Mytilus edulis: one gene and its partners. The protein of the gene in region 4 purifies or fractionates together with the protein of the main gene of each other region. This does not show direct contact. Links are inferred from orthologs where the notes say so. Each region holds a gene or a part of one and is shown on either strand. Other genes may lie near its edges. The genes, in order: peptidyl-prolyl cis-trans isomerase H-like, la-related protein 7-like, U4/U6 small nuclear ribonucleoprotein Prp3-like and squamous cell carcinoma antigen recognized by T-cells 3-like.

Region 1 (7,745 bases), on a different chromosome or scaffold from region 4:
TGTCCCGTTTTAAACGTTCTTCCAGTTTTTTATTTTCTCACAACTTATATAAACTGCAACTGGTGTCACTAGTTGGACAGTAACTTATTACCTTTCTAGATCCCATATGATAACCCTACAGTTTAGTTGGGGTAGGCGTGGTCCGGTTAAGTGTTTAGATTTTTATGTGAAATTTAGGTGCTGTAAGGAAGTTTTGCCAGTACTTTCACCCATTTGCCAGACCTACTTTTTAAAAAAAAATAATAAGTAGTTCCCAGATTTGAGATATACCTTTCACTTTACAACTGATTTAGTTTTTGACGTAACCCTGTGTTTATCTATCTAGCAATGTTCTCGTTAAGGTATGCAAACACGCACGTGTGTTTGATGGATGCTTCATAAAAACACTAGCTGAGTTTTGTTATTATCATAACTTTCCCTAAGCTATCAAAAAGAAAGAAGATGAAAACATGCGGACATTTACTTTCGTTTTAAATCATTGTATGTTATGATAAGTCCCGAGCAATTCGAAAAACTTCTATTTTTAGAACGATAGAATTTTTCCAATTATAAATATTATAAAATAGATTTACGCTACGACTGTGATCAGATAAGGTTAAATAACACAAATGATAGCGAGTAAAAGCGTTAAAAACTCATGGTTTTGGCATATAATTGGGTTTTCCTTTGAATTAATTGGGTTATTGAACCCTGCAATGGGCAATTGCATTGGGTTTTTAATAATTTTTATTGCGTGATCACGCAAATATGCAGCTTATCTGGAGCTCTGAGATACTCTATGTTTTTATACAATTCCTTGTTTTCATATCCGGTGTTTGGTATCTATTGTTATTTTGATCCTTGGAACCATAATTTAAGACAAGCAACTGGTATTTAAAGTTTGTTCTATTATTGTGATGTCACATCCCTGTCCAAGGTTAGAGGAAAAATGAGAGCCTACAAAAATATGGTTAACCCCACCGCTTCTCTATCATTTCTATGTGCTTGTTCTATGTCAAAAACCTGTAGTCATGGTACTTCAGTGGTTGTAGATAGCTCATAGTCTGGCATAGTTGTTTTTCATAAATGGTTCTGTTATAAATTAGGCTGTTAGTTTTCTCATTTGAATTGTTTCCATTTTCATGTTCATGATGTTAGTGCCTTTTTAAAATTTTATAGTCTATACTTTAGTACTTACAAATGTAGTACAGATCAAACTATCATTAAATATAAATATAGAGGTTTGTAATTTTTTTCTTTGAATTAGATTCGTCATAACACAGTCAGGGGTACTACTTATACAAGTGTATTTTATTTACTTGAAGAAGTAAAAAAAAATATACACATATAAGTAAATTTGTAGGATACTTATACAAGTGAATTTTATTTACTTGTATAGGTAAAAAAAAAATTGGCTTAGTTATGTCCCTTAGGCATTCAGAATTTTTTACTTGTATAAGTAAAAAAATCATCCTTTCTTCTTTTCTTGAATTCTTAAGATTTCTTTGCTCTAATAGAATTTTAAATTGTGTACCCTTTACAGATGTCTTTACTAATCATTTAAGTGTAATTTCATGGACAATGAAAGTCCCATTTGTTTGTTATCTTCTTAACACTGCTCATTTACAAGCCCCAAAGGAGCAATTTTTGAAGGCCTTGCGCAAATATACAAGATCTTTGCTCAATCAGTTTCTTTGATGAATTAATGAGATGAAACATTGATCTTTAATGAAAAAAATTGAGCAAACCTGGGAAAAAATTTTAAAGGCATGATTTTACATCTCAAAACTTGAGGATATTTGTTGGATTGTAAGAAAAATTTACTTATACAAGTAAATTTTTCAGAAAATTAAGGGGAGATTATTCAAACATTATTTATTTACTTATATGTGTATATTTTTTTTCACTTCTTTAAGTAAATAAAATACACTTGTACAAGTAGTACCCCTGACTGTAACAAATGGACAAATATGGCCGTATTTACACCTCAAACACTACTCTTGTGTACAGACTTACCTGTGCTGTTTGGAAGTTTTTAATGCCTGGCATCCACTAGATATTTAAGATTTAGACGCATTTTGTGATTCAGAAAAATAAATCATTCCTGGATTTTGATGGGCATTTTTTTCCCTTCCTGCAGAAGGTGTAAAAAAACCACCTGAATTGCATTTGATACTGTCCACTCAATTACACCCTTTAACTCACCTATAGTTGTGTAGATTTCTATTGTCCATGACAATCAATTTAAATAAAAAAAAGAGTTGTTTATACCTGAGAGGGAACATCTCCAAGTTGTAAAATCACTTCGTTTATTTTTATACCTTGTGCAGGAATGAAAAAAAATGCCCATTAAAACACAAAAAAAAGATTTAATCTTTCTGAAATGAAAAATGCATTTAATTTTCATATATCTATATAGTGGATGCCAGGCATTAAAACATTTCCAACTGGACAGGTAAGTCTGTACACAGAGTAGTTTTTGAGGTGTAAATATAATACAGCCATATAATATTTGTTATGATAAACTAAGATTATAGTCATAGTGTGAAAATGCTCATATTTTGAATACTAATAACTGTGATAGTTGTCTCCTTGGCAATCATACTTCAAGTTCATCCCCTATAAATGCTAACAGCAAAGCCAAAGAACAAGAATCATAAATGAAAACCTCAAATGTTTAAGCCTGAAAAAGGATACATTAAACAAAGAGTAATCCATGACACGTCTATGCATATAAAGAGTGCCCATTCACCTCCCCGTGTTATTTTTTGTTGTTTTAGAACACCGCCTCCATAAAAAAATTCCGCCAAAATAAGTTTTACCCCCCCCCCCCCTTTTTTTTCTAAAATCGTCACTATGTTCTATTTAAACCATAACATGTCGGTCGCGTGTAATTGTGTATTGAAGATATTCAAATGATCATACGTACTGTGTTTCCAATGGAAATATCAAAGAAAACAACGGGATTGTTAGTGTTATTTGGTTTTTCTGAATACGACATGTTGTCGGCTTTTTATTATCTCCCTTTACGTACTTTTAAGTTGGGTAAAGCTAAGTTAAATCAGACGGACTTCCGTATAATTGAAATTTACACACGCTTTTTTTTTTTACTTAAACAAATATGAGTAGAAAAAAAGGGAGTGTATAAGAATTGTTCAATTCACATAAAAAATAGTAATATAAGCATATATATAGAAGTATTAAACTTGACTTGTACAACCCAAGGTAGCCTGGTATTATTTTTTTTCTTTTTCAACATTTGGCTGTGTTACTGTACATTCACTATCTTCTTCTCTTCTCTTCTTTTGTTACAGAAAACCATCAACGTACTGATGTTTACTTTCCGGCGCATGCTATAGATTCACTATAAAGTCTACATGTTATCTTTTCTTATTGTAAAATGGTCGTAATGGTAAGATAAATCAGTTTGACACAAAACACCTTATTCAGATTTTCTTTATCTAAACAAAAGCTTATTTTAATACCAGGAACAAAAGTATAATTAGATATAGCCTACTGTTCCCATTACAAACATAGACAAACTAACATAGTATATGTCTTCGCTACTAATGACCGACTATAGCTAACATTCAGGCTAGGTCTGCATGCCCCAAAAGTATTGACAGATAAATTTCAGCTATTTTATTATCAAACTGATGGCGATACATGATCATAGATTCAAATACCATCCATATACCCGTTACGTACGTGGTCTGTGTAACGTGACCGTTTTCTTAAGGCAGAGAGATTTTAAAATTGTATCAATGAAATATTACTATAGTGATTTTGAAACTAGTTAAAACATGGTGGCTTTACTCGTGCCACGGCATTTTAATCTAAACAAAATCATATTGCATTTATAGCCACTCCTAATTTGCAGCCAACATACAGGTTCAAAATCGGTGCACTAAATTACCATAACCATATACTAGTAAACAAATCATGGCTTAACATGCTTAAAGTCAACCTAGATTTGGCCTTGATCTATGCATAATGTAGAAAAAATATTCACTATCACTCCTTGATAACTTGAGTCACGGCTACCACCGAAAACAAATATACAGTAAGAAGTGTTAATAATGGTATTTGATCTTACATAAGGTAAATAAGCATACACTATATATTGTCATTCAAAATGACATCAAAGAATGACTTATTCAATGATGATGTCCATACAATAGATAATGGAATGATAATGAACAGTGAAGGAATTGCACCAATCTATAAGACTCAGAATAAAGACACAGAGGCGTTAAAAAATGAGGAACTCCAAATGACCAAAGAGCGGTCAATAGAGAACTGTGATTCAGAAAACCAAGAAGAGTACTGTCTTATTCATTCAAATCTAAAGGAAAAGAAAGACCCTGAATCTGACTCTGTTGTGATAGAAGACCAATCAGCTAAATTGTTGTATAAAGTAAGCGACAGACCGGCTTTGCAGTCCACCCTTTTCTTTGCTTTTCAGGTGAGAATCTTTATATAGTTCGATTATCTTAATATCCATTTCTATATATAGTATAACTATTATAATTATATTTAAATGAATAGCTCTAAATTTAAAATGCCTGAGCCTATACTCATTGTGCATATAATTGTACAGAGTATATATATTCCGAAATGATATTTATCTGATAAATTGTGAACATTTTCCCTGTCAATACTTTTTCCGTATCAATTTTGTTACTTTTTCTGCAATGGTTTATTGTTTTGCGACTATATATATTTCCGTTTTGGCCATGTGGTGTGGTTTACATTTTTTTCTATGTAAATTTGTGCTGTTGTGTGTCTAAAGTTTTCAACATCTGGTTTACCTGCATGGCACATGTAACTTTAATGCAGGTACAAGTTCAGTCAACAATGGTATAAAGTTTGGAAATAACAATTGTATGAAGTTTGGGAATAACAAATGTATTTATTTTGGAAATAATAATTGTAGTCTGAATTCGAACAGTATTGAACACTAAAGAGTTTGTTTTAAAACATATCAGAAAACAAAACCGGTACCGTATTGCTGTGACCATGATGCAGTATTGTTGTGACCTTCAATCATATTGTTTCATCTGTGATGCTAGTATTGGATATATATTCGTGGTCACAGAAGTTTAAGTTCAATTACCTTGAAAAAAGTTTATATCACAGAATGAGATTTAATTAACATACCTCGTCCTATATTTTCACCAAATCCTGCTGTGAATTTGGAACGACATTAACGGATAACAAATCAAGACCACTGTTGTGCTGGACAGTTTCATTTTTTCTATATAAAGATAGTAAAAAAATTAACTACACATGAATCATTTTGTGGGGAAAAATGAAAATAGACTTATCTGAATTAAGAATTCAGTGAGTCGGATCTATCAATACTCGTTTTGCGAGCATGTTTAAATCAAAGGGTAGCTATATGTAAATTAACTAACTAAAGATTGAAACTAAGCTTCTTATCTTAATTATCTGCAAAATCAAGAGACACTTTTTTCAGGAAAATACTATGTTTTACTTAAATTGTGTAGTCCGCATGCTTCTTTGTGCACTCTACTAAAAGACAAAGAGCAAATTTTATATCTGTACAAAAGTAAAGTGGATGAATTCAGGTTAAATCATTGCAATTTTGTGACGTGATGGTGAATTTTCTTGGATTCACGTAAACAGACCGAAGTCATTTTCGGACATCATCATATATCATCTTTTAGCTTTGGTTGTATTTTTAGAACACACTGTTGGCATTGCCATGGAATCTGACACTTGTAATATTGGTAGCAGAGGTAACTTGTGCTCGGGATGATGACGAATTGAAAGCTAGATTATTATCAACTACAATTTTATTGAGTGGTTTGACAACATTTGTACAAGTTACATTTGGTGTAAGGTAATAAGCTGAATGTACCCGTAATGGATCGTTTACGCAAAGTATCAATAGTATGTAGTCAATCTATTTAGGACGAGTTCCAATTTATTCTTGTGTGTTCGGCATATAGAGACAATACCCCTACTGTATATGGTTAAAAACCTTCAACAAAGACCTGGTACCAATACCCATACAGTATATTGTAACATCCTACAACTAATACCAATATACTCACAACGTATATGGTACCAATCTTTAACAAGACCAAAAAACCATATTGTATATGACAATTACAACCTACAACATAATGGACCCATTCCAAAACTTTTTAACAATCTAATTATTCGGAAATGGGTTCATCGATGATGCGATTTCGGTTATTGTGATTTATTATGCTTGTTCCTTTATACACATTATATGTTATTCAGGTCTCAGACAGGGTATATACTGTGACATTCCCGGCTTAGAGTTTATATCCCCTGAGCCGAAGGCGAAGGGGATATAAGCCCTAAGCCGGGAATGTCACAGTATATACCCTTTCTGAGACCTGAATTACACATATATTACGGATTATACCTGACTTAATGTTATTTTCCAGCGCAGGTATTTGTTGACAACACATATATATTGAAAAACCTGACCTGATATGTTCGGCATACGTGAAGGATTTTCTAATTTGCTGTGAACATAATTTATCGTGTATGTAATAATTTATAATAACACTTTTAACATTAAATTTAAGTATTAAAAGTGTAAATTGCGTGATTTTGTATCAAAAATGTATTATTGACTGAAGCATGTCATTATTTTCCCTCTGTGAGCCTCTGACAGTCTGAAAGCTTTTGACTGCGTCACATAGTAACCGGTGTTATGATGACGTTTTTGAGGTTCCAATTGGGGATAAAAACGTCGTATATACCCCGGCAGTTTCCTGAATATATACTGACATCTCTGTGTTGTTATCCAATCACAAACCTCGACACATTTGTAATCCGTAATATATTCTGATATCTACCTCTATTGCTTTCCACTTTTGATGGATTCAATTATCATTACTGATTACACTTTCAGAATGCCTGTATATCAAGGACCAACCACAGCCTACATTATACCGCTACTAGCTATAACAAACCTAGAAGAGTGGAAATGTAACTCAGATCACAATAGTTTTCTGAACAACACAGGCGGTAGGTTATTTTTCTCCATCGAAAGGTAAACTTGGAGAATTTAATGCATGAACTTTTAATTTTTACTTGCAACGAATACGGGTGCCTTTTTTTGGACTGCAGGAGGTTTAACTCTACTTTAGATCTAAATTGATTGTTATTGCTTCTGCTTCTATATATAAGTTTGCATTGTGTTTTTTTTTACTCTTTTAGTTTTAAATGGCTGTTTTAGTTTTCAAAGGCTGTGTTATTGACTTCGTCCTGAAAACCCATGCCATAGAATCTGAAAAATAGTCACACAGATACAGAGCGAGTAATTGTGTCTGCCACTTGAAAAATAGTTTTTTCAATATACAGGCTCAAAACTGCCATGCAGATCTATCTTTTACACTCATGGACGCATTTGAACACCAGACCGGACGTGGCTGAGTACAGTATTAAAACATCCCTCATTATATAATTTGTTATCACTTTTAATATAGATTCTAAAAAGTGGTTACACCCATAAAAACTATGTTTTGTCAATAACTTGGTTTATATCAGGTTAATTAGTGTAAATGTGTATTCATGTGGTTTTTTGTTTAAATGTACTTTAATCATTTTCTGTGCTTTATTTTGTAATTCATTTGATTGTATAGCTCAAATTTTGGGCACCATGATTGGTTAATAAAATTATCTATCTATCTATCTATCTATCTATCTATCTATCTATGTCTTTACTATATATAAGTTTGTCTTAAATTGATATCTATGCA
Region 2 (7,249 bases), on a different chromosome or scaffold from region 4:
TTATTATGTTTTAATAGGTGCACAAACTCTGATTTAAATAACCAGTGAAGGATATCCCTGCTGCTACATAGTGTGGCATTCCAACAATGACGTCTCTAATAAACATAATGTAGGTTGGATATATTTAGAATATCTCGTCATACTGATTTTTCTGGATTGTAAAAGAAACGTAAATAGTGTAAAGGAGAGCTCAAGATACAATAATTTCACGAGAAACAGAAGGGAAATGTGTAAAAAAAAAGTGTTTAAAGTCCATCTATTCATTTGTGTGTCTCCTTCTCATCAATCTCCGTCTGGTCAACCACATAGGGGATTGAAGGCTTGAAGCTGCCTTTCCCCAAAAACTGCAGTTTACCACTATGGCCTATTTTTAGCCATGGCAGCCATATAAGTACAAGAAAATAAAAAACACAATTGATTCTAGATACCCTTAGGGTCATTCAGCTTTACTTTAGTTGGCATTGGTTCTATAGTTTCAAAGGAGAAGATTTTTTAAAGTTAGAAAACATAATCAACAAATTGTGTAAAATTGTTCTTAAAGGGCAATAACTCCTTGACAATTTTGGTTAAAGAACTTATTTGTAGATCTCACTTTGATGAACATTTTTGCTGTTCACAGTTTTTCTTTATCATTTCTTTATATCATTAATAATATTCAAGTAATAACCATCATTGCAAATAAATTGCTTCGACAAGTGCAGCTGGATACAACCGCAGAGGTCCTGAAAAGATGGGACATAATGGACACAATCTTCGCATTTGATAAAGGTCTGAATTTGGCTTGAAATTAAATATTTGACACACAATAGTTTTCTGACACAGAATATAAACTGTAGTCAAAGAACTTGAATTGGTTAAGTGATTTGAATTAATATTATTTTTTTTGCTTTTGTGCAATACACTAAAATTAAATTAAAACAAAATTGACAGCTTATTACCTCAAGACAATACAACATTTCTGTATACATAATTTAAAAGCAGTGTAAGGGAGGTAATTCAACCATGTAGTGTTTGAATTACCTCCCTTTTTTGGGGGGTTTGTACTTCAGTAATAGTCCATTAAGAAGGACACCCTTGTTTCACCCCTTTTTGCAACTAATTCCTCAACGGTTTAAGCCATAACATATATGCATCCCAATGCCAATTCTTACAATCCCTTTGTGGTATTGAATCTTGTGGTATAATTTCAGAGAGATCCATACACCATTCCACAAGTTATTGTCTGGAAACTAGAAAAATGCTAATTTGGGCCCCCTTTTGACCCTTATTTCTAAACTGTTGGGACTTTAACCCCAAAAATCAATCCCAACCTTTCTTTTGTGGTCATAAACCTTGTGTTAAAATTTTATATATTTTTTTATTTACTTATACTAAAGTTATTGTACGGAAACCAAATGTTTTCGGATGACAAAAACATGATACCAATGTACAACTGCAAAAATGTTTGCTTAAGAAAAAATTCATGGAAGCCATTGATTGTTGGAAATTTACACATGGCCTGGGCCATGATATTCGAAATTTATTCCTGAGCGAGGGATAAAATTGACGGATATCGCGGCCAAGTGAAATTCCAACAATCTATGGCTTCCATGAATTATTTCAATTCTAATAGGACAAATACGGTCATTAAAAAACTGAAGCGAGGGTGGATATGCAGTGTGTCGGGCTGTTCTTTTTTACTTCCTGTTAGATAAAGCTCAAACATTCTAATAAATCTGTAGCTATCATGGATTATTACATGAATAACCGCAGAGACCGCTTAAAAATTCTTTTATTTCTCAAACCCAACATTTGCCATTTTTAATTTACATGTTTTTCTCATAAGCTTCCGTCAAATCCTAAGTTGACATTTCGTCACCATGATGACTTGCTGAAATCTGTAAATAATGCGAATAATGCAATAGAATAGAAAATAAAACACAACCTACCTCAATCAAAGTGCTGGATAGCACCTGTGGAAAGATTGGAAGAGTAGTTTGAATAATTTCATATTAAGGTATGGTGGGGACAAAAGAACATTAATAAAACAGTATTGCTGAAAATTGCATAAACAGCAGGGTTCAAGCAGGAATAAAAATCAGCTGTAACTTAAAACGACATTTTCAACGAATTTCAGCAGAGCAAAATTTTCCGTTCCATCCTTCAAGGGGACATCTAAAAAGATTGTGTTAATCCTTAATTAATCATTTATCTTTCAGACATAATTTACAGAATCACTTTATGTAATGTAGATCAAAAGTAATAGGCAATAAATAAATCTATCATCCTTATATATCAAACATCTAATATATACATTTGTGTATTCAATTATGAGGTCAAATATTTGTGTATTGAGATGTTTATTGGGTCTGTACAATTATGTAACACTGATGTTGATAAGTAATGTGGTCAATTTGATTGACATTTTAGGAGGTGGGGCATTGTAATTTAAGGTCCACCTTGTCCATGTTTGGTGATAATGACAGTTGTCAATCATACTAGTATTGTATCAATACTCAATTACCTAATCAAAATGCTTAAAAAAAGCCTGCACATCAACACACCTTCATTACATACATTCTTGAATAAACTGCTCCAAAAAATATACCCATTTTTCACAATTTATATGTGTATTATGTGCACATACATGAGAACTATAGGGAACTATATTTCAGTGTGAATACATGCAGTAATAGTAGTAAACCTGTCATGTTGTTAGGGAGGCCAGTGCCTAAGGAAAGATTAAGAACAAGTTCCAATCTTTCCAAAAATCAGTTTTAATACAATATCATACAAATTTCAATGGTTCACGCAACAGAAAACTTTCAACGCTAGTGGTTTCATTTGTATGACGTCTTGTTTTGAAATTATTAAATACGCCAAAAGCATTAATAGACTTTCGCGGAATTTATTTTTATTTTGTTGATTTCTCAGAGCTCTTGTTCATTACTTCTTTTTATTATGTACCCGAAAAGGAATAACAATTATTTTGTCTTTTTTTTATTGCAATTTTTAAAAAAATAAAATCGGCAAAGAGTCTGCAAATAGGTTCCAATACATGTAGATTTACATGGGAAGTATATTGTAACTGCCATTATTCTGTATATCTCTGAGTCTGCGCTAAGTATAGATATATCAAGAATCTTATCACTTGTTGTTTACAAAGCGAAAAAAGCATGTCATATTTCATGTATTAGAATGTCATATAAAAACTGCAAAATTTGCTTAAAATTACCAATTTAGTAGCAGCAACCTAACAATGGGTTATTAGATTCATCTGAAAATTTCTTGACTGATATATCATGTATATAGAACCTAACTCACCTAATTTACACCTTAACCTGTTGTCAGATTTGCTCTAAATGCTTTGGTTTTTATGATATAAGCAAAACACTGCATTTTACCCCTATGTTCTATTTCAAGCCATGGCGGTGATGTTTTTTGACGATACAGAAAAATAAAACACAAACTATATTATTGGATCTTTCAGCTAAAATTTGGTTTGAATGTTCAGTTATTTCAAAGAAGATGTTTGAAATAGTTTACCCAGGTTTGACGAGGAGGACGATGAACAATGCTTAAGGATTTATGAGCTAAAAATAACAAATCAAGGACCAATTTATATGGAGCTTTGTTTGTGTGCTTCTGGAAATATTTATATGCATTGAGTGAAATTTGTGAACCATGTAAGTGTTAAACAAACCTCTTTCATGGACAACCTGGGGATTCTTTTGAATAAGCTGTTGTACTAATTGTCCGGCATTTGTACTGATTGCCTGCATAAGAAGCTGGTGTTCCGAGGTCCCAGTTGGTTTTGCAGAAACTCCTTCATTATACGTAACTTTGGGATAATCATCATTTTTTGACGTCATTCTAATTTACGTGCGTTTCATATGACCTAGCTTCCGTATCATGCCATATATAATTTATAATTGTGTGGTAGGGGAAATCGTGTAGTTGATGTAGTTACAGGAATTCTATTAGGCCGGCTCGATTCTGACCAAAACAGCATATCGGTCGTTTGACCGGCGATAAACAAAATCAAGGTAAACCGGATAGAAAATTTAAAGGTTTTGATAAGAATACTAAAGTATATGATGCATAAAAGAAGCATATGCTAATATAAAAATCTTTGTAAAACTGAATGTGAGCTACATTTGTACTTTAGAAAATTCCGCTAAATCTGCAAAGGAGAATCGAGTTCCCCAGAGACCTCTGTAAGGAGATATAAAATAGATGTTGATTGGTTAAAGTTGAAAATTAAACCAATAAAATAGTGGGTAACATTTCCGTGTTTTGTATAGTTAGCTCCCTTTATTTTATAGAAGGAAATTTAAAAGAAGGTAGATTCTCTTAATTAAGTGGAATTAGTTTTCTAAGTAAACTTTGCCACTCATGACTGCAGTGCATGTGCCCTATAGCAATGTAGATGAGTTATGAGAGGACTGTATTTTTGAAGCTTTTGTCGTTTTGAGACGTTTCGGCCTCATTACCAGTTCGTCCACAATTTGTTTCGGGACCACTACCTTACCTTTAAGTTCAGACTTGGGGTCAATTACATTGGAATGTAATTAATTAAATTACTCATTACATTGCAAAAATATGAATTACACTAATTACACATTACACAGTTTTTAAAATGTAATTAATTAAATTACACATTACATTTCATCATAAATTGTTTTAAACAATATATATCATGTATATATAGAATGTGTGAAATATACATCTTTATCCCCTTCAAATGAGAACCACACAAGTTCTGTGTGTTGAACAGGTGCTTTGGGTGGCAGTGCTCATTATTTATAAAGGTGCTGTGGCTGTGGATCCCATCACCACAATTTATCCATGAATTTTGGATCAATTCATCCATCCACAATTGGTTTTTTTCCTTGATGGAAGGGAGTAAAATATAATGTTTCATCAAACAAATGGGAAGAAACAAATGAAAAAACATATTCATTTATAAAAATTTGTATCAATATTGATTAATGTTATAGAGTATTCGTAAAATATTATGAAAAGATGAAGTTTTTTTCAAATATAAAACGCAAACAAGGCAACTTCAAATAAAAACTTGCTGAGTTTATGTGGATCCAACTTTCAGTTGATGAGTATATTGTAATACAATACAAGCTGCCTTTAGCCTTTTAAAATACAGAATGAGATATTGCAGCATGAATGGAATTCCAAATGACTTTTTCAATCAAGACATCATTCACAGCAGATCTAAAATACACACTTGATGACAAAATGATTTTTTTTAAGTAATACGATGTACAAAAATGATGTAGTTCCTTTTTCGAAACAATAAAATTAATGGAAACGAGGAATGTGTCAAAGAGACAACTACCCTACCCGACCAAAAAGAAGAAACAACCCAAGGCCAAAAACATGACAAATGGGTCTACATGTACAAGTTCAACACAGCAAAAAAATCCAACACCTGGAGCAGGGCTTAGCCATGTTTGCTGGCCCCTAAACATGCATTACCACATCTTCTTATACACATATTTATTAAGATCATAGATGAAAAAAATGGGTTCACAGTTAAATATACCAAAAAAGACAAAATGTATGAATTAAGATGTGAGGTGAAAATTGTATTTCATAGTAAATTATAATATTTTTTGCAGTGTTATGGCAGGAACAGAAACATTAGATAAAGAGACTACAAAGGACAAGAAGCCAAGGAAAAGAATGAAAGCTTTATATGGTCGTATCAAGCAACAGGTTTGTTGAATAAGTCTCAAGGTCATAATGGTCCAATGAGTTAATGTAGTTATTATATATAATTATATCTACCAAAGTTTTGATAGACATTAAAAGTTAACATTTATAAAAGTAATTGAAAATACTTGACAAAATAAATTACTTCATGATGTTAGGACAAACTCATGAACACTCATACAGGGTTAAACTAATGTTATAAGTACTTTGTCCTTCCCTATTATCTTTATCAGTGGTAGACCAATAATTAAGTTAATGTGGCTTGATTGTTGTTCTTGCAGTCCTGTTTATTTGTTTAGGATAATGAGGAACGGTGGGGTATATGGCAATGAGGCAGCAATGGAACACACAAAAAATACAAAAGACTTCTGATGGGCAACTAATGTCTTTCATGTGTCTTTTGATTATGTTATTTTCAAGTTCTATACATTTTCTGATGAGTTGTATTATATTACATTTATATATATATATATTTACTTGCTATTTGATAACTGTACTGTTGTATATTATATATGTTGGATAAAAAAAAAATGTTAAGCACATGTCCCAGATCAGCCACAGACAAGGTTTCTGACTTGGTACTTGGACATGAACATGTGTTGGACTTTTTTGGGATACGATTGCTTTTAAGCAATCTGTAGACTTATACCATTGGCTCAGGGCCATGCCCTCATGTCAACTGTTTTATTCTAAACATTAAGGAACATCTCAGATTCTTATGATTGTCTTGCTTTAAAAGGTAAAAACAAACAAAGGGATTGAACTTAAACAACTTTCCTATAATGTTCTTTTCATAATCTTCATGTTTGATATTTCTCTTGACTTATATGCATGTTTTTAACAACACGGAAAATAAGAATTAAGCAGTATTTATATTTAGTGTTTTTATAAATTTAGAAACACGTCAGAGGGAATTCACCAGTTTTGATAAAAATGCGAGAGTTCTCTGAATGCCGATAAATCTATTTCTGTCACATAAGAACTGAAGTGGAGTTTTTCTTATATGTCACCGTTATGAAACTGATATTTGATATTGTACTTCCATAAAGAAATAGAGAACCATCATTAAATAGGTGAGAGTAAAGCTCTAAATCAAAGAGCAGATTGCTCTGAGGGATATGATTGCCATTGTTTTCATTGACACATGTATACATGTAGCTGGATGATATTATTTTCAAAACTAGTTCAACTGCACATGTAAAATGTAATTTACGTAATCTGAATAGTTACAAAATAGACAATCCCGGATACAAGTGTATGAAAAATGTACTTAGGCCTAATGTGTTTTGTTTTTGTACCATCAATTCCAAGTTTACTTTCCACAGTAGTCACTGAGACTCAGAGTGAGAGAAGGTATTTCACTTCGTATCTTATCACCTATTTTCCTACTTTAATTCTAGGAGGAACCCTTATTCCTAACTCTTTAAATATTTAATTTCCTTGGATCAGTGGATTGGCTATTTTGTACCTATTCAGATTACGTAAATTACATTTTATAATGGCAATTGTATCCCTCAGAGCAATCTGCTCTTTGATTTAG
Region 3 (7,911 bases), on a different chromosome or scaffold from region 4:
TATTTAGCGGCAATTCGAGGTCATCCTTAAAGAGACTTGGGAATTATAGATGCTATTTTCCCGGAATCCGGGACAAACTTTATTTTTCCATCATTTCAATGTATGCAATTCCAAGTGACCATCTATCCAACGATAAACTAATTCGGCTATTTTGTAGTTATATGTCATGATCAGTACTTTGTCTTTTCTAAAAACTTGAATCGGTCAACGCTTTTAAGTTTATATAAATTCAAATGTGTATTGCCATGAAAAAATTACAAAAAAAATATGTGACCAAGTGCAACATGTGCAAAATGAATTATATACATCATGGTACATCAACAGTTATTTTTTTCATCATATAAAACGTTTTCTCATTAAAAATGTAACTTTCCAATTTAAATAAAAGTTGTTTCTCAGTTCCCTAAGTTTTGTTATCAGTGGCGGATTCAGAACTTTTTATAAGGGAGGCCAACTGTCTGACCAACAGGGGGCCCCTTTTCTTCAGTCATGCTTCAGTGATTTCCTATATAGTCAAACAAATTATTCCCACAAATGGGTGTTCAGTCCCCCCCTCCCCGGTCCGTGTAACACTTATCAATTCAAAGTTTTAACAAGTTTTCAAAATTCAGATTTTTGGAATTTTGATCAAAGTTTTAAAATATCAAAAATCCAAATTGTGTAAAAGTTTTGAAATTTTGAAATTTTAACCAAATTATTAAAATATTAAAATTCTAAATATCGTTTATAAATTTGATAGTTTAGTAATTTGATCAAACTTTAAAAATACTAAACCTAACGTGCAATTTTAAATTTTTCACTTTTTGAAAGTTTGATTTTTATTAAGAAATCAAAATAGAAAAGGGGCGAAAAGAGGGGTAATTGTAGACACGGCTCTGATTATAATCATTCTTAGTTAGGACGAAATATATATATCAAATCATTTTTAATTAGAAAATAAATAATTAAAAGAGTAAGTCTTTCTTTTATAAAACCTATCAGGCATTGTCAGGCATCACATTGGATAATAGTATCGTGAAATTTCAAAGTAGTGCATCTTTTGAAAAAAAAACTTATTTAAACCAGCATCAAATAGGTTGATTTAAATCTCTAATATAAGGTAAGGGTTTGAGATAAATAATTCAGAGCTATAGTTGGTGTATCCAGTGCCCAAAATTTAGAAGTAACAGTGAAAACTGATCAACTTGCAATAGGCCAAATAGTATTATTCGCCTTTTTGACGTTCCTGATGATCCAGAAAAAGCGCTTCGGTCGCATGCAACTTTAAACGTTTTGTTTCCTTTTTTATTGTTTACATGATGATAATATTTTGCCTTTTATGATTGATTTCAGTTCCAATTAACGATGCGGAAGGAATACTTTATTAATGGTGTCGTAATGAACGTTGTGCTGGGCGGGCGTGCTTCAGCTGGTCCCTAGACATAAAAGTGTACTGGTTTAGTGAAGGTTCAGTGATGGTTCAGTGATGGTTCAGTGATAATAGACGTAATACTAAACTCCGAAATATAACAATGAATTAAAGTTAAAATCATACAAGAATAAAAAGGCAAAAGGCGCCTGAATTGGAACAGGCGCACAAATGCGGCGGGGTTAAACATGTTTTGTGAAATCACAACCCTCCCCCTATACCTCTAGCCAATGTACCAAAAAACAAACACGCAGCAATACGCAGTCAAACGGATTTTAAAAGAAATCAAAGTTCATGTCAGAATAGGAAACAAAAGAAACTATTCAAAATGACAATCATAATAAATTAACAATATATAATTATATATATATACTATATATAAAGCTAGAAGTTAGTGACTCATGCCAGCTCCATACTCCAAACAAACTAATCAAAATATTATGTCTTCGTCAAATGAATAACAAGCACAATCCCTTCCTGTTGTATTTATTGCTAATTTGTTCCTGAACATTCATGAAATATTTGTCACTGGAAACCAAAAATCGATAATTCAAAATAGGTTGTTTACATACAAATTACAAAGAAACTTAGGATTCAACTCTCTCGGGCAAAGTAGCCCTTATAGATGGATTTTGTTACGTTTACCTTCACTTTGGCCAAACACCTCTTCAATTGTTTCGGTTCTTATAAATACTTGACTTTCAAATAATTAGTTGCAGCTTTCCGTAGGTGACTTAAAATTCAGCATTTTACATTGTACTGGTTTTTCGAGAGTAACATTGGTGTATGGCCAAAAATGGAAAGATCCATCATGCATCATGTCCCATTCTGACTGGACATACCTGTGTTCCTTTACTTTGCTCAAAGTTGATTGTCAGTGTCGTAGCTAGATCATTTTTACGTGTATGCCCGAACCTCGGAAAAGCGGTTCCATGCCAAAGAACCTGCTGGAAGTTGATAAGCCGGGACAAGCCTCCGGAAGTTTTAGAGTTATCGAGAATGTCATAAAATTCCTGTCATTGAAAACTCATCAATAACAACATTTTTTAGATTCAAAATAATTTATTTTCTATGTTTATTCTATTCATTGTGTTTAAAATCTATTTAGAAGATAATGGCGGTCTTTGGCTTAATTTGGAGTAAACGTCCAAACCAGTTACCTTAAAATAATTACATTAGATGTATGTTTCATTATAATACTTTATTCTGATTGGCTAACTGCATGCACATCACGTGTTATTCCGTAAGCAGTTGCAATGCTCAATACAACTTTTCATTCATGATAACACGTGGTCCAACAATAAAGTGCACAGGTGAATTAAATAAAAAAATATATAAAATTCGTGTTTTCATGATCATAGCTAAAAAATGTAATTATAAGTATTGAATGCTTCTTTTTGTAACTTTATAGGGTTGTAAAAGCGTTGACCGTGCACACATTTTTAGAATGAAGCGCGGAATAAAAAATGTACTTCGGTCAACGCTTTTACACCCCAATAAATTTACAAAAAGAAGCATTCAATTCTTAAATATGATTAAAGGGAGCCGTGGATAACCTTCATTCATTACCGAAGCAGTATGCGTGGTCTTTCATTTAGGATTATTTTACTTTATGAAAACAAGATGGATCAATCGCAGAAAAGTGTTCTCGACTTCTTTCATAAAATGTTTTCATCTGAAATTGAACATAGCAGAGCGATGGCTTCTGCATCTGATGTAGCAGCGTTACTAGGTCTTACAAGTATTTGACAGCTTGCCTCTCTGTGCAATTAGGAGATAACTGTATTGTATTTTAAGCTCCGACGGCATCAATTGGGGATTTGATGGTCGCAAATTAAGTTTACTGGCGACGCGTTAGCGGAGACAGTAAACGGGCATTTGCGACCATCAAATCCCAAATTGATGCCGTCGGAGCTTAAAATACAATATTGTTATCTCCATTCTAATGAAACTGACAGAAAACAACGTTAAAACATGTATTTAAATTCTGCCATATGCCGTCTGCGCTTGCGCGTACGTCCCATAGCATCAATTGTCAATTGAAGCCATGTAAGAAAGTGACGTTATCCAATCAAAATGAACGTTACAAACGTTGTTGCATTAGAATATGTGATTTAACGGTGGCCAGATCGTCTGACTTAAATTGCAAAAAAATCTGAAAAATAAACGAAAAAAAAATTGGTTTCTGAAATTAACCATGAAAAAAAACCACTTCAATGAAGTTTAATTGAATTCGACGAAGGTTTAACAAAGTAATTGATATGTAATTGATTTTAACGTTAGACTAAGTGCAAAAAGAAATTATTCTTTTTCTATAAAATATGGGAAAACTTATCATATATGTATAATTTCGATATTATGCTCTGGATACTCGTTTGTGCATACACAGTTTTTGTCCAGCTACCGTAAAATTTCACAAATGTTTGACAAAGTTATTGATATATCTTAAAACTAAAAGAACATAATGAACCTGCATGAGTGTACATAGTTATCATTTTGGTACCGCCGACGAAATTTACGATCAAAATAGCTCGCTTTCGCGACATAAATGTCAATGGCTCGACAAGAAATGAAAACCACATATCGAATCCAAGCTCATAATGAATTGCTTAAAAAAATAAAGGAGATAAGTATAGAATTAACGGTAGATTTAGAATTTGACAGAAATAATATGATACTAATTTTCGTCACTTTTATTCGCATTTGCAAGCCATTGGAGAGAGACATAAAAGGTTAATGTACTGTTAACCAATTCTTTTATTTCTATTTATATGATTTTTTTTTAACAAATTCAAGAGTACGCCCGGACGTTTTGAGACCTTTTGACGTAAACGTAGCTACGCACATGTCCTGGACCAGGACACCTGGTATCTATCAATGATGAGGTTATGTTGATATATACCTTATAACAGTATCTTGGCTCCAAGCTACTAATATTTGTTCTTAGTCTCAATTTGAGCGTAAGAAAACGCTTCTATTTCGTTTCACAGTTTATAAGTACCCCTCTTTTCGCCCCTTTTCTATTTTGATATCTTAATCAAAAATATAAAAATCAAACTTTCAACTGAAAGTGAGATAATCAAAATTGCACGTTAGGTTTAGTATTTTGAAAGTTTGACCAAATTACTAAACTATCAAATTTTTAAACGATATTTAGAATTTTAATATTTTAATTATTTGGTTAAAATTTCAAAATTTCAAAACTTTTACACAATTGGGATTTTTGATATTTTTTAAAAACATTGATCAAAATTCCAAAAATCTAAGATTTCAAAACTTTTTAAAACTTTGAATTGATAAGTGTTACACACCGCCGCCCCCCCCCCCCCCCCCCCCTTTACATTTAATAAAAAATAATGAATTTACTTTATTCATAAAGTTTACTTTTCTCTTTAATTTTCTAACATCATTATCCTTATTAATTTGCGCAAATCCCGGAACTTGCTTTTCCGTGTTGTTTTATTTATTATATAGTTTGTTGTTGTGTAAGTAATTTCAATTGGTCGAAACATCCCTGTCAACCAATCAGCGTGTCCGTTTCAAGAAGGATCGGCTAGCATTTCGATAATAACACGATCTTTTTTTCCAAAATACTGTTAAAAAATATAAAATACTGTAAGTAAACATGTCAGTGCATCATATAATTCAGGTTGAAATAATGAAGTCTATATAAATAAATAACTATCCAAATGCTGATATTTGTAAAACGAAAACCACAGTAACAAGTTTTCCTTGGAATAATTTCTGTATATTTGATATTTTACATTTTTTTTGTATGGCCATCAATTATTTTTATATTTGACATCATTATGAAAAATAACTCTTATTCAAAATACAATAAGAATTTGAGTTAATACTTTAGTAATAATTGTACCTTTCATGTGTAAACGGAAAACATGTTTCTCCTTACAATGAATATAAAATCATCTTGGTCTCCCTAGGACTCAAGCTCATAATATTTAGAGCTTATGTTTGTACTGTTTGTCAATATGCCGAATCCAAATAAAGTTTTACTTACTTACTTTAATACTTACTTACTATTCAGGGACCTCTGTGATACAAGACAATGTATTTACTGACTGAACTCAACATGCTCAAGAAGAACTTCTCTATATTCATTTTATGTAACTTTCCTGGCAGGGTTATTCTTTTTTAACCATGATTTTATTGTTGGGCAACAATGTAATTGTAGAGCATGATTCTTTTTCTAATATGAGGCAGGCATAACCTGTGAATGGGGACGAAGTCTGTAGACTGTATGTATTATTTTTTAATTCAATCACGTTGATAAAAGAAACCGAAATACCGTACGTAACGTTCCCGATTTTGATTCTGTTGTTAGGGAATTAGCTGTGACGTTCTATAAGTTATGACGTCATATTCGATGTACACAAAAGAAACGCTTTCATCAGGTAACGTTTTTTCATATCAAACAATTATTAAAATTGAATTGGTATTGAGATCCAATCTTATATTTTACTAGACTGATAAATATAATTTTTTTCAAAGTCTCATGCAAACAAGACAGATATCTGCGCAAAAGCGGAGAAAACCGGAACAGGAAGTAGATCTGAAAAAAAAGTTAACGATTTTGAGTTCATTAGTAGAATGAAAAATTCAGGAAATTTTCTTGATTTTTTTTTTTTTTTTATTGATTTTTCTACCGTAATTTGGGACTTCGTCCCCATATAATTATCGTTGATGTTTGTCTCCTCTGGTACTTGAACCCAGGAGCCTTGAGTGAGCATGTATATCCACTGAGCTATTGAAGTACTTCACTAGCTCAGTCGCTTATGCTGTTTTCACAATAAACATTTGAATCCACAAGCCCAAAACTCATTTTTACCAAATTTTTAGTTGGATTCTGTTGGCTTGTAGAAAAGAACTTCACAAGCTCAACAACAATTTTACAAGCCATGGCTGTAGGACATGTGGTTTAATGTGAAGACTGCAAGTTATGGCTGGTTATGTATCTATCACATATACCAATGACTAATCAGTGATATTGTTTGCCTTAAATTACTGGAGAATAAAGGCTTTTTCCCCTGGAGAAGAATTCCAATTTGAAAAAAAAATGGCTAAAAATTATTCCCAAAAAGACAAATTTTTCACAGAATTTGTAGAGTTATTTTTCATAATAATGTCAGTAGTAATTGTGCATGAATACAAACTGAAATACACCCATTTATCATGTTTATACGTTTTTTATGCCTAAAATGACAATATATTCATATTTGAGGGTCTATTTATGTGTCATCACTGATAATAAGGGGTCTTATTTCAAATGAGGGTTTACCTCTTGAAAGGGGATCTACAACTTGAAGTTCCAGTCAAATTTATGGTTTATTATAAATTTCCCAATTTGATAAAAATGATGCATATTTCCCAATAAAAAAAAGGTAGAGATAGTTTTGAAAAAAGCCAACAATATCACTTAGGGATGGTGTACATCAAATATGGAGTTCCAATTTTGATTTTATGAATAAACTGCCCCAGTTGACCTGGTGTCATTCTAGAGAGATGAGGATAGGATTTGTCAGGGTTCTTGCTAAGAATTTTTGAAGGCGAGTGCAGGGACTTGTCATTTTTGGACATGGTGAGTTCCATTGTAAGAAGAAGATATATTATTGCAATATAATTTATTATTTTAGTCTCTATGACCTTATAGGGTAATGAAAAAACATTAAATTCAGACTACTTTTAAACTTTGGGTATAAAATGAGGATACATTTGTTCAGTTTATACACAATATTTCTTTATTCATCTTTTTTTGGACTCACCAATTTTAAAAATGGTGTGTCCAGACAGATTTTTATGAGTCCACGACTCATGGACTCGCCTAAGTGAAAATTCTTATTTGTGAATTGAAGTTATTTAAATTTTGACATCTGTGAAAAAGCACAAGTCGTTAGATTATAAACAGTATATTTTTAGGTAAAGATAGCATGAAATGCAATCAAAACCTTATAGGACTGACTTGATACATGTATCTAAATGTTCAAAGGCTTGTCACTACTTTTTTTTATACAAAAAAATCAAGTGCATTGATCAACATGATCAAAAACATTCTATACATCCTATCCGTCAACATTTCAAGAACTTTATGATTATATACATGTATGCTCAGATATTCAAGGCACAAAATATTGATACACTAGTCAAGAAAATTATATACATGTAACATTTGCAAAGTGCATGAATTGTGAATCTAATATCTGTTATAAAAAAAGAATGATGTCATTGTTAACATCATTTTTTTTTAAATTGGTGTTCTCTTTCCTTTGTCTAGAATTGCTTTTAAATCAACTACAACAATGTAATAATTAATTTTACTTCCCACTGATAAATTGAAGTAATCTTTACCATTCAGTGCTTTCAAGCACTTTGATTATATTAGGCAGGTGTTAAGGTTAATTTGGTACACATCAAATTTACACCTATAGAACAAATATAGCAAAAGTCAAATTGACACTTGGTCAACAATGTCAAACCAGCACTTACAC
Region 4 (7,734 bases):
TTTCGTTTTTGAGATATAAGCCAAAAACTGCATTTGACCCCTATGTTCTATTTTAAGTAACGGCGGCCATGTTTTTTGACGGATCAAAAATCAAAGCACACACTTTGTGCAGGATAATCTAAGGAACAACCATGCTAAGTTTTAACCAAATCCATTCAGTAGTTTCAGAGGAGAAGATTTTTTAAAGTTAGCAAATATGATGAACAAATTGTGAAAAATTGTCATTAAAGGACAATAACCCCTTAAGGGGTCAATTGACAATTTTGGTCATATTAACTTATTTGTAGATCTTACTTTGCTGATCTTTTTTGCTGTTTACAGTTTATCTTTATCTATAATAATATTCAAGATAATGACCAAAAACTGCAAAATTTCCTTAAAATTACCAATTAAGTGGCAGCAACCCAACAATGGTTTGTTTGATTCATCTGAAAATTTCAGGGCTGATAGATCTTGACCTAATGAACATTTTTACCCCATGTCAGATTTGCTCTAAATGCTTTCGTTTTTGAGATATAAGCCAAAAACTGCATTTGACCCCTATGTTCTATTTTAAGTAACGGCGGCCATGTTTTTTGACGGATCAAAAATCGAAGCGCACATTTTGTGCAGGATATACTAAGGAACAATCATGTTAAGTTTCATTCAAATCCATTCAGTAGTTTCAGAGGAGAAGATGTTTGAAAAATTGTTAACGACGACAGACGACGACGACGACGACGACGACGACGACGTCGACGACGACGGACGCCAAGTGATGAGAAAAGCTCACATGGCCTTTTAGGCCAGGTGAGCTAAAAATGATTGAGAGAACTCTGTATTTATCCATCAATGAAAATCATTTTCATTTGTCAATAAAATGTGAACAACTTAGACTCCTCGCATACCTTCTGCCAAGGGAAATAATTCACTCATTCGTTGTCTGGCATCTCTAAGCTGTTCTAACTCTCCAAGTTGTTTTAATAACTTAATTAAATCTATGTGAACATCATACAGGTATGGGTTCTTTGATATCTGAAAAATAGACTACACATTTAATTACAGAACAGGGCAAAAAAGTTTTGGATGAAAATATAAATATTTCAAGAATGAAAAACTTCAAAAAGGAATATTGCACAGTGGAACTGTTTATTCGATGCAACACCATCGTGCATTTCCGATTAATAATCTTTACTAATTTTGCAAGATTTGGTGACATATATATATATTTGATTACAGGTTAATGGAATTAGTAAAAAGTTTCGATGCTTACTGACTAGTGAGCGAAGTATGCCTAATATTGCAGTTATATTCAGAAGAATTGTTTTAAGTCGATACAAAAATTGGTGTAATTGGTAAAGTACTGTTTTTAATTTAATTCAATATAATCATTATCCTGATTATAATGACTAGTTTTAAATCAAATCATTAGATTATTTATATTTGGTTTGATTATTCAACATTTTCCTGATGATTATGCTAAAGTATCATTAATAATAATTAACTTTTGAGTTTGTCTGTCACCAGAAAAAAATTGTCAATTATGTGCTCCTTTATGACGTCATTTACCAGATAGTGTGCAATTTAGCTTTATAGTTTTCCAAACATTCTCTAAACATTGAAACAGAAGTGACGACGCCCCTAAATGCAGACATGATGTTTATTAAAAACAAAGTTTTTGATGGAAATGCATTGAACTCAAAAGTTGTCTATTTAATCAAAATCATGAGTGACAAGATCTTTATAGTTTGATCTTTAGTAATTTAATTTATTGTAATGGTGGTCACTTTGTTTACTTATCTATTTGGGGAAATTGGTTAACTTTATAATTACTTATAGTTCCGTAACTCTTTCTTCCGAGACCGGCCATGAAATTATCCTTGTCGGGACTTCCTGTTCTAGCACGTGCCCGGCCGGGCTCGTTGTCCATAGGAACTATACGCATATGACGTCACTCACCGGGTTCGGGACAGTCTACACTAAGGATTTGAAATGAGCAGACGCTCATATCGTTTGGCTTTCAAATATGGAACCTTTATTTATACAAGTAGACTAGCCACCACCGTATATTTATTCATTGTAAACTGTGCTTAATCTATTTGGCTGAGATTAAATCTATATTATGAGTAACGTATTCTGTTTTCTAATATTCCCTGAACTCGGGAAACTTCCACTCCCGTTACATTATAATCAAAAAAATGTCTTATCTATTCATAATCATGATAATGAAAATATTCCTCAAGAGATAGCTTTTTCGACTGTCAAGCTTTCATTTTATTACAAAATTCAAAAACATAAACAGCTTTATTTTTTAATGCTTAATACAAATATTTTTTGTTTTAGGAGGGATTGACTTTAGATGGATCATCTTGAGACGGAACAACTTGGGACAGATTGACTTTGGCTGGATCGACTTGGGGATAGAATGATATGAAAACAAAATATCTGACGCTGCAATGGAGAAGTGCTCGTTGTATGATGTCAATACACCATATCGCTAATCCTGGCTGACCCGGCCGCTTGAACTTTTGACGCATACAACAATCACTTTTTCATTGTGGCGTCAGACATTTTGTTTTATGACGTCAAAATTTTACGGGAACCTGTGTGATATCCAGCAATGGCTGACAAATGGCGATAAGGTGTATAGTTCCACCACACAGATTCTTAATATTCGACCGGTGCAGATTTCGAAATAGCGATATAATGTATTTGTTATGGGGTTTATTATGTGAGTTTGGACCTCTTTCAATACCAATAGTAAAGTCTACTAAAGATCAGTAGAGTAAGGCTTTGGCTTCAGTTTTTGCTATAAAAGTAAATGACCTGTTTCTGAAGTTCTGCAACCTGTCTCTCCGATTCCTCATTTTCGCTGTCAGAGTCATTGGAATCTGAATCTTTCTCGCATTCCATTTCTACATCTGCCTTTTCATCGTCGTCACTATCTTGCATTTCTTTATTATTTTCGTTTGAAGTAGAGACCTCCATTGCGTTTAAAATACGAACTAAGGGAGGTAATTGTGAAAAATGCTATAACCAAGGAAGCAGATACGGTATCGGGTCCTTTGTTCGTTTGTTATCTTTCACGTTTACGTTATTAGTATGCAAAGATTATTTAACGAAAAGAAAAAGAAAAAGTTGTACATGAATGCATAAAAAGGAAGATTCGTGACAAAAATATGTTTGATTAATATTTTTTTGGCAGGGATATTGGAAATCTTAGTCTAACTTGAATTAACTAAATTTAACTATTTTCGTGGGTATCTATTTTAGTGGATGGAGGAAAACTTGCATTTTCGTGGGTATCTATTTTAGTAGATGGAAGAAAACTTGCATTTTCGTGGGTATCTATTTTATTGGATGGAGGAAAACTAGCATTTTCGTGGGTATCTATTTTAGTAGATGGAGGAAAACTAACATTTTTGTGGGTATCTATTTTAGTAGATGGAGGAAAACTAGTATTTTCGTGGGTATCTATTTTAGTAGATGGAGGAAAACTTGCATTTCCGGAGTGAGTATTTGATTTCATGGTTTTGCCAATCTCTACATACAAAGCATATAGAACATTTGTTATTCGTTGAACATTTTAATTCGTGGTTCACACACATGTACTATCGAAACAAACACAAAAATTGGTATCCAACGAATAATAATGACTCCACAGTACCAGTAATTTATTGGCTTGCCGGTATCATGGGCAAAACAAAGGAATCTTGTGGGGAGGTATTTTTTAAAACTTTATTATCCAAACTGTGGAAGAGCTGGATAGCTCCATATCTGTATGCAGAAGTCTTGTGGTTTTTCGTCTGATATTTTGTCCTAATTTTGAGGGTCAATAACCAGGGTGTTTATATAGTAGTTTTTATATGTTATATTTTTGGTATTTTAATTAATTGCAAGGTATATATGTCCTTCATACAATGATAACATCAGTGGTCTAGCTTTTGTTAGCGTGTTCACTCAAGTTGGAACCCTGGCATGTCAAAACTGGTGTTTGCTGCTGCTCTTCTTGTGGATTGAAAAAAGCAGGGTTCATATATTCATATAGCCAATACTCTTGGAATATGAAAATGCTTCAAGCTGAATGCAATGCTCTTAAAATATGCCAATGCTTCAAGCTGAAACCACAATTCTTCAAGCTGAAACCAATGCTTCAAGCTGAAACCACAATGCTTCAAGCTGAAACCACAATGCTTCAAGCTGAAACCACAATGATTCAAGCTGAAACCACAATGCTTTAAGCTGAAACCAATGCTTCTAGATGATGCCACAATGCTTCAAGCTGAAACCAATGCTTCTAGATGATGCCACAATGATTCTAGCTGAAGCCAATGCTCCTAAAGTTTGCTAGTGTATCAACTACAGTCAAAGCTTTTAAAATATGCCAATTAATACAAATACAAAACGACTATTTTATTGGCGCAAACTCATTAACAAATAATGGTTAAGACCTATTGTATACATATAATTATATTAATTGACATGGTAGAGTGAAAAGTTACATGATAACATATCATGATAGAATGAAAAGTTACATATTGATTTATCATATCAGTACACTATTTCTTATATTTAGATATTCTGATATGAAAGAGAAAGACAGTCTAATAATGCTGAGCTTATTATTGATATCAGTGGTAATGTAAGTGGGTCTCATTGGGGTCTAAGCGTGACGCGGGATTGCCGATTTTTTGTAAGCGTGACACGTGAAAGTCAAATTATTGTGGCGTGAAAACGGGAAATTAGGTCTTGCGGGACCCGGGAAATGAAAAAAAAATGAGAATTGCTTATGTACATAGTGTAAGCGGGATACGGGAATCTGACAAAACAGTAAGCGGGATCCGGGATCGGAACCCCCCAATGAGACCCCCATGTAACGCTGTATTTAGATAACTTTTATTTTATTTTCTAATATTTCTCGTTTTGAGGTAAATCTATGACATTGTCAATAAACTTAAATTGATGCTCTGAAGGTAACACGATACCGAATGGCATATCTCCCGATTTCCAAACTTTTTGGCACATGTGTTCTTTGAATTGAGTTATATCGGAATATGTAATAAAAAATGGGGGTCACCATTTTTGTTTTCTTGGTATTTTCATAGGAAAACGTCAATTTTGGCGACAAATTTACCTAGGTATATAGGGGAAATGCCTTTTTTTCGGCTTAACTTTTTAGATTTTCCAATGGATGGCTATGTTCTTATATACGGAGAAAAACAAAAAACTAACATAATATCCAGAATTGCATACTGAATCCATACACGTATAGAAACTCATATGTCACCATCCTTGTTTTTGAGATAAATGGCTTCAAAGTTGATTGATATCATTAGAATTGGACCGAAAACGTGTGACGTTATTGAATACAGAATGTAACGTTACGGTATTACTACTCAGAGATATTGAAAACAAAATATGTGTCGGGATCTGAATGGTGTTTATTTTATTTTTTATTTCCGCTGTCGGGTTTCGTTAATTTCCTAGTAATGAAATACACAATTCTGCTGATATAATTTATTTCGTTCTGCACCTGGAAATTTCACTCACATGAATTACCCATTAATCTCGTCTGATTTTCATAACGAGCATATACTTGAAACTTGCTTGAACTGGTTGGTTCCACGTGAATCATGCATAAATCAGGTACACGTTGAATTCACGTAAATTTTCAAAATAAGATTGTTAAAAAATTTAATTAAAATCATGAAAAATACCTTCATATTTTTGTAAAGTTCACGTGAAAATAACATGAAAAATTTCACGTGGGATTCATTTGAATTACTGAGTTTTTAACTCCATCATTTAAGACAATGGTGGTGTCGTTGCTTCATCCATGCAGAAATAGAGTACTTTAAAAAATTTGATTCAGTTAACAGTTTTATAATTGATCGGTTTTTATAGTTTTATAATTGGTCTAAATAATTTCCCCCAATATAGCATTTCTTTATATTTTTTTTCATAAAGGAGCCTGTAATTCAGGTGGTTGTCGTTTGTTTATGTGTTACATATTTGTTTTTCGTTCATTTATTTTTTACATAAATAAGGCCGTTAGTTTTCTCGTTTGAATTGATTTACATTGTCTTATCGGGGCCTTTTATAGCTGACTATGCGGTATCAGTGTATATAAAGTGTGAATCCAGCTAGTTCATTTTCACTGTCATATGCGGGTATGTCTATTGTAGAATAAAGGATCATGGGAAAACTGTATTTGTTTACGTTTTGAAAATACCAAATTAATTGATTTGAAGGAAAGTTTTTACATATTTTCATTGTGATATGTCTTTATTATGTACAAACATAGCATTAAAGTTCAAATAAGTGTTATAAAAGCAACATAAGCGATCCATGCCAAGAAATTGCCTCTGTTGAAATTTTGCAAACATCCCATAGAGCAAATTACATGGATGATTATTATTAACCATTTGGTATGTGGCCGTGTTCTAAGCGACACGTACATGCAGGTCATAAATTAATTTGTTGAATGAAATCCAATCTTTAAACTACTAATAGGTGCCGCAGGAGGTCAACCAGAATTTTTAGCGAGGATTTCTTGGCATGTAACAGATGAGGGCCCTCATGGGGTTTTTGATTATGTGATTACTTGGCCGTTTTTTTAATGATTATTTGATTATTAAGCCAAATATTTCATGATTATTTGATTACCTAGGACTGTATTTTTAGTTTATGATTATTTGATTACTAAAGATAAGCAAATATTTAATGATTATGTGATTATATTGGCAAAAAAATGGTGATTATGTGATTACTAGGACCCCCCCATGAGGGGCCTCACAGATAGAAAACTCAGGGTAAGAATTTATAGAGCAGACAAGGTGCAGTGGCAAATATTTCATGTATATTATGAACACAGAGAAGATAACCCCGGCACCCTTTGCCAAAAAAAAAAAATCTTTTTCATCCATGTGCCTTTAGACTTTATGTTTTGAATTGTAGTTTCACTTTCCATATTCGGTATTCATTCTAATGTAAGCTCCACGTGGCAAAAATCACGTGATGCAGGAATATTGTATCTTGGAGTTAGGCTATTTCTTTCTTTTCGGGCGGGGACTCCAAGCAGACAACATGCATGTTTTATAACGCAACTGTATATTTTTCTTATTAAATGAAGAAAGTTGCCGGTCCAGTACAAGGATAGATCGGTTAGAAAGCAAGGTTTTAATTTTAATTAGAGTGGAAAGCTTAATTTGAGAGTTAAAATCGGAGAGGACGAAAAAAAAGGGGGGCGGGTTCTTCCACAGGGAATATTTTTATCTTAGGAACTCTACATTAGAAAGTTTTTTTTAATTATTTATTTAAAAAAAAAAGAAAGGGAAAAACAATTGTATGGCAAATTGTGAAGGTTCTTTCTTCCTTTCTCCCGTGCGGCTATCTCGCATATATCTGGTTTACCGTCAAACCGAGCGCATGCATGTCTTTTTGGTTGTTTCTGTCACTAGGTGGCTGTATCATTGACGTTTATCCCATATTTTCATATTGAAGCACAATGCACACGTAAATATTGTTTTAGAACATGAATTTAAAGTTTCATGTCATGCATACTAAAGTAAAGAAAAGCAAAAAAGCGACTCAAAGAACTAAATAGAAAAAGACGAAATGATCTGATTTTCTGTACCTCAATTTTTTTTAACTGAAACAAAAAAAAAATGTCTTCACTGGGAACTCTCGAGCTGAAACCTACACTCTTCAGGTTAGCAGGGACAATACTCTGTCTTTAATTTTGTCATTTTTGCG

The links.
Region 1: the proteins of squamous cell carcinoma antigen recognized by T-cells 3-like (region 4) and peptidyl-prolyl cis-trans isomerase H-like purify together in Homo sapiens (affinity purification with mass spectrometry; 3 studies listed by BioGRID and IntAct, with this or other methods). This does not show direct contact. The link is inferred for Mytilus edulis from reciprocal best matches to the Homo sapiens genes SART3 and PPIH.
Region 2: the proteins of squamous cell carcinoma antigen recognized by T-cells 3-like (region 4) and la-related protein 7-like purify together in Homo sapiens (affinity purification with mass spectrometry; 4 studies listed by BioGRID and IntAct, counting the BioPlex papers as one, with this or other methods). This does not show direct contact. The link is inferred for Mytilus edulis from reciprocal best matches to the Homo sapiens genes SART3 and LARP7.
Region 3: the proteins of squamous cell carcinoma antigen recognized by T-cells 3-like (region 4) and U4/U6 small nuclear ribonucleoprotein Prp3-like purify together in Homo sapiens (affinity purification with mass spectrometry; 5 studies listed by BioGRID and IntAct, counting the BioPlex papers as one, with this or other methods). This does not show direct contact. The link is inferred for Mytilus edulis from reciprocal best matches to the Homo sapiens genes SART3 and PRPF3.

The regions. Positions count from the first base shown.
Region 1 is NC_092356.1:36,863,655-36,871,399, reverse strand, and holds the start of peptidyl-prolyl cis-trans isomerase H-like, read right to left. Parts: upstream 3,021-7,745; 5' UTR 2,981-3,020; coding exon 2,909-2,980; intron 1-2,908. Other genes in the region: solute carrier family 23 member 1-like, read left to right, coding at 4,115-4,444, 5,688-5,845, 6,896-7,011. UniProt on the Homo sapiens protein: PPIase that catalyzes the cis-trans isomerization of proline imidic peptide bonds in oligopeptides and may therefore assist protein folding. Participates in pre-mRNA splicing.
Region 2 is NC_092352.1:62,371,113-62,378,361, forward strand, and holds the start of la-related protein 7-like, read left to right. Parts: upstream 1-4,247; 5' UTR 4,248-4,322; intron 4,323-5,615; 5' UTR 5,616-5,619; coding exon 5,620-5,712; intron 5,713-7,249. Other genes in the region: uncharacterized protein, read right to left, coding at 3,683-3,851. UniProt on the Homo sapiens protein: RNA-binding protein that specifically binds distinct small nuclear RNA (snRNAs) and regulates their processing and function.
Region 3 is NC_092354.1:9,891,528-9,899,438, forward strand, and holds the start of U4/U6 small nuclear ribonucleoprotein Prp3-like, read left to right. Parts: upstream 1-4,911; 5' UTR 4,912-5,023; intron 5,024-7,911. UniProt on the Homo sapiens protein: Plays a role in pre-mRNA splicing as component of the U4/U6-U5 tri-snRNP complex that is involved in spliceosome assembly, and as component of the precatalytic spliceosome (spliceosome B complex).
Region 4 is NC_092349.1:30,327,929-30,335,662, forward strand, and holds the start of squamous cell carcinoma antigen recognized by T-cells 3-like, read right to left. Parts: upstream 3,009-7,734; 5' UTR 2,968-3,008; coding exon 2,806-2,967; intron 1,015-2,805; coding exon 888-1,014; intron 1-887. UniProt on the Homo sapiens protein: U6 snRNP-binding protein that functions as a recycling factor of the splicing machinery. Promotes the initial reassembly of U4 and U6 snRNPs following their ejection from the spliceosome during its maturation.